3 linked regions of the Saccharomyces cerevisiae S288C genome follow. The protein of the gene in region 2 interacts with the protein of the main gene of each other region in a biochemical or structural test. Each region holds a gene or a part of one and is shown on either strand. Other genes may lie near its edges.

Region 1 (3,199 bases), on a different chromosome or scaffold from region 2:
CATAACTATAACGTGTGTGAGGGCGAGCAAAGCAATTAAACGAAATTGATCTTATTGGTGAGCGTCAGACTGCTGGAGTTGTGTGTTATAAAATGAAAGAAAAAAAAAAGGAAGTAAAACCAGGGAACGAACCGATAACTATTTCTCCCCTTTCTGTTTGTTCTTGGTTTTGCTTGCTTTGTTCTGATCAAGACCAAAAATAGCTGGGTGGCTACGAATAAGAAGGCCAAGATTAGAAGTGTGTTACTCTCACTAATTGACTGTTTAAAAATAAATAAACAAACAGGTTCAAAGAAACGAGAATAAACAAACAACGAACGCCAACGGAAAGAACCGACGTTGTGTTTGCGTTTACGTTCTGCTCTCTCACTTGACACAACACGAAGACCGAAAACAGCTTGGGAAGCATTCACCGATCGTTATTCGAGAGGTTTCCAGTTTCCTTTTTTTTTTTTTTCACTCGCGGTATAAACGAATGAAAAAAAATAAAAAATTTTCATGTTTTTCCGTTCCGGAAGACAAAGCCTGTCCGCCTTTAAGGCGGTAAAAGCCGTCGTAAAGGCTGTCGTAAGATGAGACTAAAGTAATAGTAGTGTATTATAGATGATTATTATCATTATATATACATGGCTACGGTTTTTCGCTGACGGGCTGCGTTATGAAGCGTGGTGGTAGTACTCTGCAAACCAAGGGTGATGCAGAGCCTGCTTGGCGCTCAGCCTCATATCCGGATTAAGTTGCAAGAGTCCGTGTAAGAAATCCATGAGATTCCCGTCTAGCGGTTCTTTGGTGTGTGGTTGCAATACTTGACGTAGGTCTCTTGGTGGTCGTTGCTGGATATTTGGGTTGTATTTGGGTAACTTTGTTACACTGGGCCATAGGGACTCATTAGGAGTGCCCATGATGTCGAAGATCAATTTCAGTTGTTCTTCGTCGTTGGTGCCAGGAAACAAAGGCTTACCCGTTATCATTTCCGCAAGAATGCACCCACACGACCATATATCAATGGATGTGGAGTACGTCCTAGAACCCATTAGCACATCAGGAGCACGGTACCACAACGTTACGACTTCGCTTGAAAATGTGTTGACCGGAATACCGAAAGCACGGGCCAGACCGAAATCACCCAATTTCAACTGGCCTCTCTTGTTGATTAATAGGTTTTGAGGTTTTAAATCACGGTGGAGAATCTTGTTTTCATGGCAAAAGGCCAGCCCTTGCAGTAGTTGCCACTGGAAGTATTTAACCAAGTTTAGTTCTAGCCCTCTTGGTGTGTTGCCCACGGTGCGGGAATCCATGTATTTCTTTAAATCGTTGTCCATGAATTCAAAAACCAAAGTCAACTTGTTCTCTGTGTGAATAACGTCATAAAGTCTAACAATGTTCTCATGTTTCAATTCTTTCATTAGGGAGATCTCACGGATGGCCGTAGAGGGTGTACCTTCCTCTGAATCCAGTTTTACCTCTTTCAGGGCAACATATACCCCTGTGGTTTTGTTCAGTCCCTTGTACACTGTGGCATACGTACCATTGCCAAGCTTTTCTAACTGCTTAAATCTGTTCATAGAGCTCGAGGTTGATTTTTTCTCGTATATATGTTAGTATTCATCATTTCTAGTTCTTTACTTTCCAATGATACTTGACTAGAAAACTACATACTGTGAAGAAGAAGACATTGGTATTGCTCAAGTTTGCCCAGTTTGCCGCGCTATATATCCCTTATCTGCAATTATACGCTATATGGTAAAACTGGATTCCCTTTGTTATCTTTCAATTAGAAAGCTACGGGCTTACGAGTCTACGTGTATGGTGATTTGTACGGAAAATGAACTGCACACAGAGGACAAGCAAAGGGTCTAGGATAGATAGAAGTAGCGCATCCGGCCTGTCTATCCCTCCGTGTCTATCAATTCATTTAACGTGTCTGGACGGACTATGGTAACTACTTTTTGCGTTTTTGCACCTTCTTCCTGTTTTTTTGGTTTTAGTAGTGCACTTATTCTTCACTTTTTTGCTCTGCATTGTTAAAAATTTCATTTTTTGCATTTTGGAAAACCCGATGACATTATTCTTTGAAATAAACCATATCATTTAGAAAATGCGATTTCCATTACGCAAGATAGACAACGCATTTGGTCCGATTATATTGCTATCTTGTGATACTTCTCCTTTCTCTCAACAATGACTGGCGACGGTAGTGCACATATTTCTAAAAACAATCAAAATCAACACAAAGATCGCTTCAAGTTTATTGTGAATGATAAAAGTATTCTAGGACCTCAATGGTTAAGCCTTTACCAAACGGATGGGAAAGTAACATTCGCAAAGTCCCACTTCGAGCAAGCAATGATGAACGTTATTAGAGAACCAAATATTAACTCTACTGTCATATTAAGAGCGGATATTTTGAAAGAGATCAATCATGCTGCAGAAGCTGGGTCTGAGCCAAAATTTGACGAGTCCGTATTAAAAAAGTTTGAGATCGATAATGGTAATGAAAGCGGTGAAGAAGATGTCAAGAAGATAAATATTGAAGATTTAAACATAAGGTCGTGTGAAACATCTGAGAGTTTAAAATTGTCACCCGTTCATGAATTTGTAAGAAGGATCATTCCTAGGAATTTTTACAAAGATGCTATCATAAACCAAACATGTTTAATCCTAAATAGCAAAGACCCTAATTTTCAGGAGACCTCATTGATTGTATATACGCCGCACATTAACTCTGAGAAAGACTGTCCGTTTTATATTCCAAGAACGCAAAGTGTAGGCATTTTGTTACACCAGTCAGTTCTTTCTGTACACTACATTCCCTTCCCCGAGGATAAAACTGCCTTTACAGATGAATCTGAGCGTGTTGTAAGAACCGCTTATAGGTTATTACAAACTGCTAACAAACACTCAAAGGGTGTGATGCAGGGTTATGAAAAGAGGGTCAATCACGATCAAGTGGTAAATAAAGTCAATTTTCAGAACACATACATTGTTTTGAAGAAAAAATACTCCAAGTTCCTGGTGGAGAATTGGGCAGAGTCTACAGACCCAAAAAAACATGTTTTTGAAGACATAGCCATTGCCGCTTTCCTGATTGAATTATGGATTAAAGTGTACGGTCCAGACTTCCGTTCAAAAATGCAATTTAGAGATTTGGGATGCGGCAATGGTGCTCTTTGTTATATTTTACTGAGTGAAAGTATTA
Region 2 (5,911 bases):
TGGAACGGGTTTTTTCGGCTAGCATAATGAATAAAGTCTTTGTGTGGTTTGTTGAAAATGGTAAAAAATGAACAAGAATATACTGTATAAGAAAAATCAAGTCTCCACCTCAACCCACAATATTGTTATATATATATATATATATATATTTCCGTGTGTGTACAACATATTTCATCAGTAGTCTTGTACTTGACCACACACGGAACTGAAATGAAACTTTAACGGCAACAATTCAATAATAGTTGCTCTTAGATCTCCGTACAAGGAATGGTTAATTTCCGTATTTTCAGGTGGCATCAATACCATAATGTGTGAGTGCCAGCAAAAGATAGTTTTACAGGCGGTTCCTGCATTGCTTTCTGAGAGGGATGATCTGAAAACTATCCGTCGAAGACGCATAAGCGCGTCCGCTATTTTAGTAACGATTAGTAATCGAGCATTTAAAATTGACATTATTGGATAAAAAGAATACGTTATATCGGCCGGAGGATCCAACTTTAGTAGAAATAGAAAGATTTGCCGCGCAGACTATCATTTTCAGTTTAAATCCTCCACAGTATCAGAGTAGGCATCAAGGATGCCTTCCTTTGCTGGTACTCTGGGAAAATGTACCAGTTGGCAACGCAGGCGAACCAATAAACGAAGATTTCGGTCATTTGTTTTGCCGTCTGACCTTCTCAATTAGATTATGTCTTGGCAATTATACGAAGCTTGTGATTTTAAAAATGAGCCATGAGCTTGTTCGGAGAAGAGTCGCCTAAGGTACAGTGTGCACAGTTTTGCTTTTCAACGATGAATGCTTGAGCGTGGCGAAGAAAACCTTGCGGGCTTTTCGAAAATGTAAGGAATAAAAATGAAGTTTCCTGATTTATAAGCAAGCAATCACTGAACGAGAATATCTTGTAGTTAAGTGACTATCAAACGAGCATGAGGGTTACAAAGAACTTCCGTTTCAAAAATGAATATAATCGTACGTTTACCTTGTGGCAGCACTAGCTAACGCTACGTGAATGAACGTACCGTGCCCTATTATTCTTGCTTGTGCTATCTCAAGAATTGCATTTTGTAATAACAACTGCATGGGAAAAATTATATAGATTTTCTACTATTATGTCCGCCTAAGTCAGTTAACCATCTTTATCACAAAATATACAATTAACCAACTACTTAATCAATTCGGTTATATTGCTTAGTATATACGTCTTTGGCACGCGATTGAAACGCGCTAATTGCATCAGCCTATCTTTCTATGCAAGAATGCAAGAAAAATTGATGTGATGTGCCTTATCACAATTCATTACCTCCTATTTCCTCTGCAGCAACAAGTTTCCTTGATTATAAAGGTCTTTAGCGTGAGAGGTACAGGTGTTATGGCACGTGCGAATAAGGGCAGAAATTAATCAAATTTATCAACTATTTGGCGATGGCTCGAGACAGGTATAGAACCACTACTAGGTGATATTGAGGCTTTTGTACAATTTATAGCAAGTTTTTGAGAGTCCCTTCAAGTTTGTTACATAATCTTCTTTGTGCAACGTACAAGAGCAAAGTAGAAAAATTTGGTTTTTATTTTTTTAAGCAACATCAGCTGCACTAGTTGAGCTTTTGACAAGACATACTGCTCAAAAAATCTTCATAACATTATTTTTCGGTTCCACAGTGATTGAGCTTTTTGAGAGAATAACCCTTTGGAGGCAACATAGATAGATAAACGTGCAATGAAATTCGGCAAGTATTTGGAAGCCAGGCAGTTGGAACTGGCGGAGTACAACAGCCATTTTATTGATTATAAGGCTCTAAAGAAACTTATCAAACAATTGGCCATTCCCACGCTAAAGGCTAGTTCAGATTTAGATTTGCATTTAACATTAGATGACATCGACGAAAAAATTATACATCAGAGACTGCAAGAAAATAAAGCTGCCTTTTTTTTTAAACTAGAGAGGGAGCTGGAAAAAGTAAATGGTTATTATTTGGCGAGAGAGTCCGATTTAAGAATAAAATTCAATATATTACACTCAAAATATAAAGATTATAAGATAAATGGTAAGCTAAACTCAAACCAAGCTACCTCATTTAAAAACTTATATGCGGCTTTCAAAAAGTTTCAAAAGGATCTTAGAAATTTGGAGCAGTATGTTGAGTTAAATAAAACGGGATTTTCAAAAGCTCTGAAGAAATGGGACAAGAGATCTCAATCTCACGATAAAGATTTTTACCTTGCTACTGTTGTTTCCATTCAACCAATTTTTACCAGAGATGGGCCACTAAAATTAAACGATGAAACTTTACATATTCTCTTAGAGCTGAATGATATTGACAACAACAATAGAAGGGCAGACATACAATCCAGTACGTTTACTAATGACGATGATGACGACAATAATACCAGCAACAATAATAAACACAATAATAATAATAACAATAATAATAACAACAACAACAACAACAATAATAATAACATATTACACAATAATTATGAATTAACAACATCAAAGATTTCGGAAAACCAACTTGAACATCTTTTTCAAGCATCTTCCTCCTCCTTGGACATGGAGATGGAAATCGAAAACTGGTATAAGGAAATTTTGAATATAGCCACGGTGAAAGATGTTCAAAGAAAGCATGCACTACTAAGAAACTTCAGAGAAACCAAGATATTCACATATCTGCTACAAAATTCCTCAGAATCTTTTCATAAAAATGTCTTTTCTTTGTTGAAGGAGTGCTTAACGACGCTGTTTTTATTACTGGTGGCTAGTCCTTTGGACGATAACTCTCTGCATATTTTCTATAAAAGCAATCAGGATCATATTGATCTGTCATATTGTGACGAAGATGATCAAGTATTTTCACGAAAAAACGTATTTCACGAGGCTGCAAGTTGTCCAGAAAAATCACGCTTATTTATTCTAGATGAGGCTTTAACAACATCAAAGTTATCTAAAGAAACAGTACAAAAACTACTGAATGCCCAAGATATACATTCGCGGGTGCCGCTACATTATGCTGCAGAGCTAGGAAAACTGGAATTTGTTCACTCGTTGCTAATCACCAATCTTTTAGAGGACGTTGATCCCATTGATAGTGATTCTAAGACACCCTTGGTTTTGGCTATCACTAACAACCACATAGATGTTGTTAGGGATCTGCTGACTATTGGTGGTGCGAACGCATCACCCATTGAAAAGCCAATTCTGGATTATAGTAAGAATGTAATCAGCTCTACTAAAGTCCAGTTCGATCCTTTAAATGTTGCTTGTAAATTTAATAATCATGACGCCGCCAAGTTACTTTTAGAAATTCGGAGTAAGCAAAATGCTGATAATGCCAAGAACAAAAGTTCACAACACTTGTGTCAACCGCTTTTCAAAAAGAACTCAACAGGTTTATGCACTCTTCATATAGTGGCAAAAATTGGCGGCGATCCACAATTAATTCAACTATTGATACGTTATGGGGCGGATCCCAACGAAATTGATGGGTTTAATAAATGGACGCCCATTTTTTACGCTGTTCGTTCAGGTCATTCTGAAGTTATTACTGAACTATTGAAACATAATGCACGTCTGGATATTGAAGATGACAACGGCCATTCGCCACTTTTTTACGCCTTATGGGAGAGCCACGTTGATGTTTTGAATGCACTTTTACAAAGACCATTAAATTTGCCATCTGCACCCCTGAATGAAATAAATTCGCAGTCTAGTACGCAACGCCTTAATACAATAGATTTAACCCCAAATGATGACAAATTTGATTTAGACATTCAAGATAGCATTCCGGATTTTGCTTTACCACCGCCAATCATTCCACTAAGGAAATATGGTCATAATTTTTTGGAGAAAAAAATTTTCATCAAATTAAAGTTGAGGCCAGGTCTCGAGTCTATCAAGTTGACTCAGGATAACGGCATTATTATGTCATCATCACCAGGCAGAATTACTTTATCCTCAAACTTACCTGAAATAATACCGCGAAATGTTATTTTACCTGTTAGATCTGGCGAAATTAATAACTTTTGTAAGGATATCAGTGAAACAAATGATGAAGAAGATGATGATGAAATTAGTGAAGATCATGATGATGGAGAGATAATTTTCCAAGTAGATTCAATCGACGATTTTTCAATGGATTTCGAGATATTTCCTTCATTTGGCACAAGGATAATTGCCAAAACAACGGCAATGCCATTCCTTTTCAAGAAGGTGGCAATAAATAGTATTGCAACCATGAATTTACCCTTATTCGACACAAGACTAAATAATATTGGATCTCTCACTTTGGATTACCAAATTATTTTTCCTTATCCGGGAAATCCACTGAAAATCATAAATTATGAGCCGTATTGGAAATCTACAGGAAGTGATTTAATGACCTCTAGTAAAGACGGTAATTTTGTTACTTCTTCATCGTTGAATGGCAGTTTTATTAGTGTATTAGTTTGCGCTCTGAATGATGAAACCATAGTGGCTGCGCCAAAACCATACGTTGAATTCAAAGGCACGAAGATTCTGTTAAATGATTTAACGAAAGAACAATTGGAAAAGGTAGTGGATTATGACTTCGGTAAAATTGATGGAAGCTTCGATGAAGTAACATTGAAACAATACTTATCTTCGAGAGTGGTGCCTCTCAGAAGCCTACTAGAAGTTATTCCCGGGTCAGCCCAGCTGGTAATTCGTGTATATTTTCCTACAGATAAGGAAATTGACACAATTCCCATCAAAATATCGCCATTTATAAATATCAATCAATTCATTGATAAGCTTTTACTAATCATTTTCGAGCATGAACGTTTTTTGCGTCACAGCGGAAGTGGGAGTATGCGCCAAATAGTTTTCAGTTCATGCAATTGGGAAGCTTGCTCGATCCTTAACTGGAAACAACCCAATTTTCCGGTTTTGTTGCAAATGAAAAATCTACTCAGAGATTCAACCACAGGCAAATTTGTAGGTGATACTCCTAATTGTTTAAAGGAACTGGCCGTAAATCCTCAAAAAATGTCGTATTTAAACACGGAACTAATAAACATACATACAATGGTTCAATTTGCTATGAACAATAATTTGTTAGGTGTAACGCTTCCATATGAAGTACTGAAGATATGCCCGTCGTTGGCTAGGATCATCAAACAAAACGGACTACTGTTGATTGCATCGGTCGGGGAAAATGACCAAATACCAGCTGATGGAGGTTACAGCGGGATCTACTACGCTTGTGAGTTGCTTTTTGAGAATAATATTGATATGTAAAGTTCTGTAATATGTAGTTTTGAAATCTTATACATTATTTAGGAAAAACTTTTTAACCTGTTCATTAAGGGCAACATCTTCTGCCTTAGCGCCTTTATTATCTACAAGATCATATTCTGCACCATACTTTTCCACCAACAATACAGCTGCGTCACCGTGCCCTTCAGCCAAAGCATGAAATAGTGGGGTCCAACCCTGCTTATCCTGCCAATTTACAGCGCTTTTGCCCAAACCGCATAATAGTTCAATTAATTTCAAAGAACCCACCGACGCAGCTCTATGCAATGGAATTTGATTAAATTTATCTTTAATTCTTACGGACGCACCATTTTCAATTAAAAATTGGGATACTTCAAACCATTTCTTACCAACTGCCAAGTGCAAGCATGTAACTCCTTGATTGGTTATCTTATTTAGATCAGGCTTTAGAGGTCTGTCGTAAAGAGACTTTACCACCTCCAAATTCCCCACTGAACAAGCAATATGGAAAGGTGTCCATCCAGAATCATCTGGATAATCATCTAAGTTAACATTTTCCATTTTAGAAAGCAAAAAACTGGTAATTTCATGTGCTTGGAAAGAAACTGACCAGTGTAAAGGGATTCTGCCATCCTGGTCCTTCTGTAGCAACAAGGAAGGTTTGGAGTGTAGCAGCT
Region 3 (3,130 bases), on a different chromosome or scaffold from region 2:
TATCAAATTTACCGGGGCAAATCTTTTCAGGAAACCGCATTCCATAAAGAACAGCGCCAATTATATATAGGACACCCCCAAGTAATACCCAAAAGAGCTGAATTTGGGTCCAAATTTCTGAAAAACTATAGCAGTAAAGGCCGCTGAATATTGGAATAATTGAGGATAAACCAAAACAAACAAATAGCCCAGCTCTGTAAGGTCTCCACTCTCTTTTCCGAAACTTATCTTTTAGTGACACAATACTACACGCGATCCCAAAGCTAACGGTAATAAGCGCAAATAGGCAAAATAGGGAAAATTTCTCAAAATAGCCGTAGTACAAAATACTGACCATTGACGTAACAATCAATATACAAATACCAAGGTAGTCCAACTTATTTCCTAAGGTAGCAATTCTTAAGGAGTGACTCTTTAGACAATGAAAGGAGCTACTCAATATTAAACATGCAAACGCCCCCGAATAAAAGAGGTCGATTACCATATGATCTAGCCATGTAGTTGTTGCAAACACTTTGATAGTAGATTTATCTAGCAACAGTACAGTGAAGAACCCGAGAGCAGGAATTAAATGTGAATAAATATTGACACTTTCATTATGCAAATAAAACAAACTTTTAAAAGTTTCAATGAAGCTACTAGTTTCTTTCACGTATCCATGTAAAATAAAATCATTGTCTCTTTGCCATTCCGGAATTTCATCCCAACTATATAGCCTTCTTAGTACTTTTTTAGCTTTAGCGACCTCTGCGGGATTTGCGGATGTTTTCCCTGCAGCTCTCTTCTTCAGCTCTTGCACACTCTTAGTCCTTTCTAATAAAGTTGACATTTGGAATGATTCTTCTCCAACATGCAGCATAATTAAAACGACGGGAAATTTAGTACATTTGGCTCAAGGAACGCTGACATAAATACTATTTCTAATCTACTATTCGAAGAGATGTTGGATTTCTAAAAAAAAAAGAGCTCAACAACGGAAGACCGCCTATTAACCCCGAGTGTCTGTTTTTTAGTATACTCGAAGCAAACAAGAAAAGTTTGTTACTTAATTTCTGGCCTAAACAAGGTAGTGCTACCCTAGAGGAAGTACGATATCAGTACACTTTTGTATTTTTAACGAATTATGGTATTCTTTAAAATATTTAACATGCTATCGAGTTTTTCTTTCTAAAATGCGGTTTCAAAATTTGAGTCCGCTTTCTATGGAAAATATGAATGAGGCGAACGTGCTTGTACCATAGTCAGATTTTAACCCGTAGGTGAGAGCCTGAGGCTTCTGTAAACCACCTTGGAAACACATACGGGTTATAAGATTTTAACAAACAATCAGTCTCCATACTCATCCTAGGATCTCTTCTTCATTTGATGAATAAAGGATTCAAACTTCAGAAAGTTATTCAGCGTATATTGGCTTTCCTTTAATCTAATGCCCCAAGCCATCATAAATAGCCATATTACTTTGAAAGTGCTCATCCGTATACACTGCAACTTTTCTTCTTTTCTCTTTAGCCGATTATAGCTCCTACCTGTTTTTTTTTTCTTCTTAAGATTATTTATATTCCAATTTTATCATCCGTATTGTTTCCAATAGCGTTCCAGTGATCAGTTATATACTTCGAGAGGCAGATAACCTTTCTTTTTATAAGTGTTTATCAAATTTAAGTCTGCAAGCTATCATAAGACGAGGATATCCTTTGGAGACTCATAGAAATCATGGAAAGCACATCAGGAGAACGTTCCGAAAATATACATGAGGATCAAGGGATACCAAAAGTAATTCTGCCCGCTGATTTTAATAAATGCTCTAGAACTGACCTAGTGGTGCTCATATCACGAATGTTAGTATCGCTGATAGCAATCAATGAAAATTCAGCAACAAAGAAATCTGATGACCAAATTACTTTAACACGATACCATTCTAAGATTCCTCCAAACATATCAATCTTCAACTATTTCATACGACTGACAAAGTTTTCCTCTTTAGAACATTGTGTGCTTATGACATCACTCTATTATATCGATTTATTGCAAACTGTGTATCCTGATTTTACGCTTAATTCGTTGACTGCCCATAGGTTTTTATTAACAGCCACCACAGTCGCAACAAAAGGCTTATGTGATTCGTTCTCAACAAACGCCCATTATGCAAAAGTTGGAGGAGTACGATGTCACGAATTGAATATACTGGAGAACGATTTTTTAAAGAGAGTAAACTACAGAATCATTCCGCGGGATCATAACATTACGTTATGTAGTATAGAGCAAAAACAGAAAAAGTTTGTCATAGATAAAAACGCATTAGGGTCTCTCGATTTGGATTCTTATTCTTACGTTAATCGTCCAAAAAGTGGATATAATGTTCTAGATAAATACTATCGAAGAATAGTTCAGCTGGTGGGTTCCTTTAACGCTTCACCTGATAAGAGTAGAAAGGTTGATTATGTTCTCCCGCCAAATATTGATATAGTGAGTGAAAGTGGCTCCCAAACTACTCAACTAAAGGGGTCGTCATCACCCAATTCTCACTCTTCACAAAAGCGATATTCTGAGGCAAAGGACGCACATATCTATAACAAGCGATCAAAGCCAGATTAATGATTTTTCGTGGGGTATTATGAAAGCAATCATGATTGAGCAAAATTAAAACTTTCCATTTGTACATATATATATATATATATATATATATCTGTGTGTGTATAATAAGCAATTGGCCATCATTTGGCTAAAAAGTTCAAGATTTCAGGTAGTATATAAGAGAATAACTTCCCTCTTTTGCTAAAGAAGGATATGTTCTATTTCAGCCTTTTTGCATCATAAGAGCATAAGCGACAGAAAACACTTCGAGATGAGCTTGAGAACTCCATTTCAATTAACTTGATAAATACATGTAGATTCATATCATCACTGTTCTTTTCAGATACTAGTTTCAAAACTTCCTTGACAGAACCATTTCATGTTCAATAATGAAAATTACTTTCACATGTTTTAGTGGAAAAATACTGAACAATGAAATTTCAATATCGCATATAATAATTTTTGTTATCAAATATATATTTTTCGGAAGTCATATACATTAAATAATTAAAACATTATTTTTAAAAATTAAAAAAATATATTTTAGCAAATAGTT

The links.
Region 1: of the proteins of PHO81 (region 2) and PHO85, one has a biochemical effect on the other in vitro, tested with the Saccharomyces cerevisiae proteins (6 studies listed by BioGRID, with this or other methods).
Region 3: the proteins of PHO81 (region 2) and PHO80 form a complex in vitro, tested with the Saccharomyces cerevisiae proteins (5 studies listed by BioGRID, with this or other methods).

The regions. Positions count from the first base shown.
Region 1 is NC_001148.4:491,362-494,560, forward strand, and holds PHO85 (cyclin-dependent serine/threonine-protein kinase PHO85), read right to left. Parts: upstream 1,677-3,199; coding exon 1,660-1,676; intron 1,558-1,659; coding exon 657-1,557; downstream 1-656. Other genes in the region: SVL3 (Svl3p), read right to left, coding at 1-3; TRM44 (tRNA (uracil) methyltransferase), read left to right, coding at 2,182-3,199.
Region 2 is NC_001139.9:954,018-959,928, reverse strand, and holds PHO81 (Pho81p), read left to right. Parts: upstream 1-1,718; coding exon 1,719-5,255; downstream 5,256-5,911. Other genes in the region: YHB1 (flavohemoglobin), read right to left, coding at 1-25; NAS6 (Nas6p), read right to left, coding at 5,283-5,911. UniProt on the Saccharomyces cerevisiae protein: Inhibits the kinase activity of the cyclin-CDKs PHO80-PHO85 and PCL7-PHO85 under low-phosphate conditions.
Region 3 is NC_001147.6:323,536-326,665, forward strand, and holds PHO80 (Pho80p), read left to right. Parts: upstream 1-1,713; coding exon 1,714-2,595; downstream 2,596-3,130. Other genes in the region: IZH2 (PAQR-type receptor), read right to left, coding at 1-829. UniProt on the Saccharomyces cerevisiae protein: Cyclin partner of the cyclin-dependent kinase (CDK) PHO85. Negatively regulates the expression of phosphate-starvation-responsive genes under phosphate-rich conditions.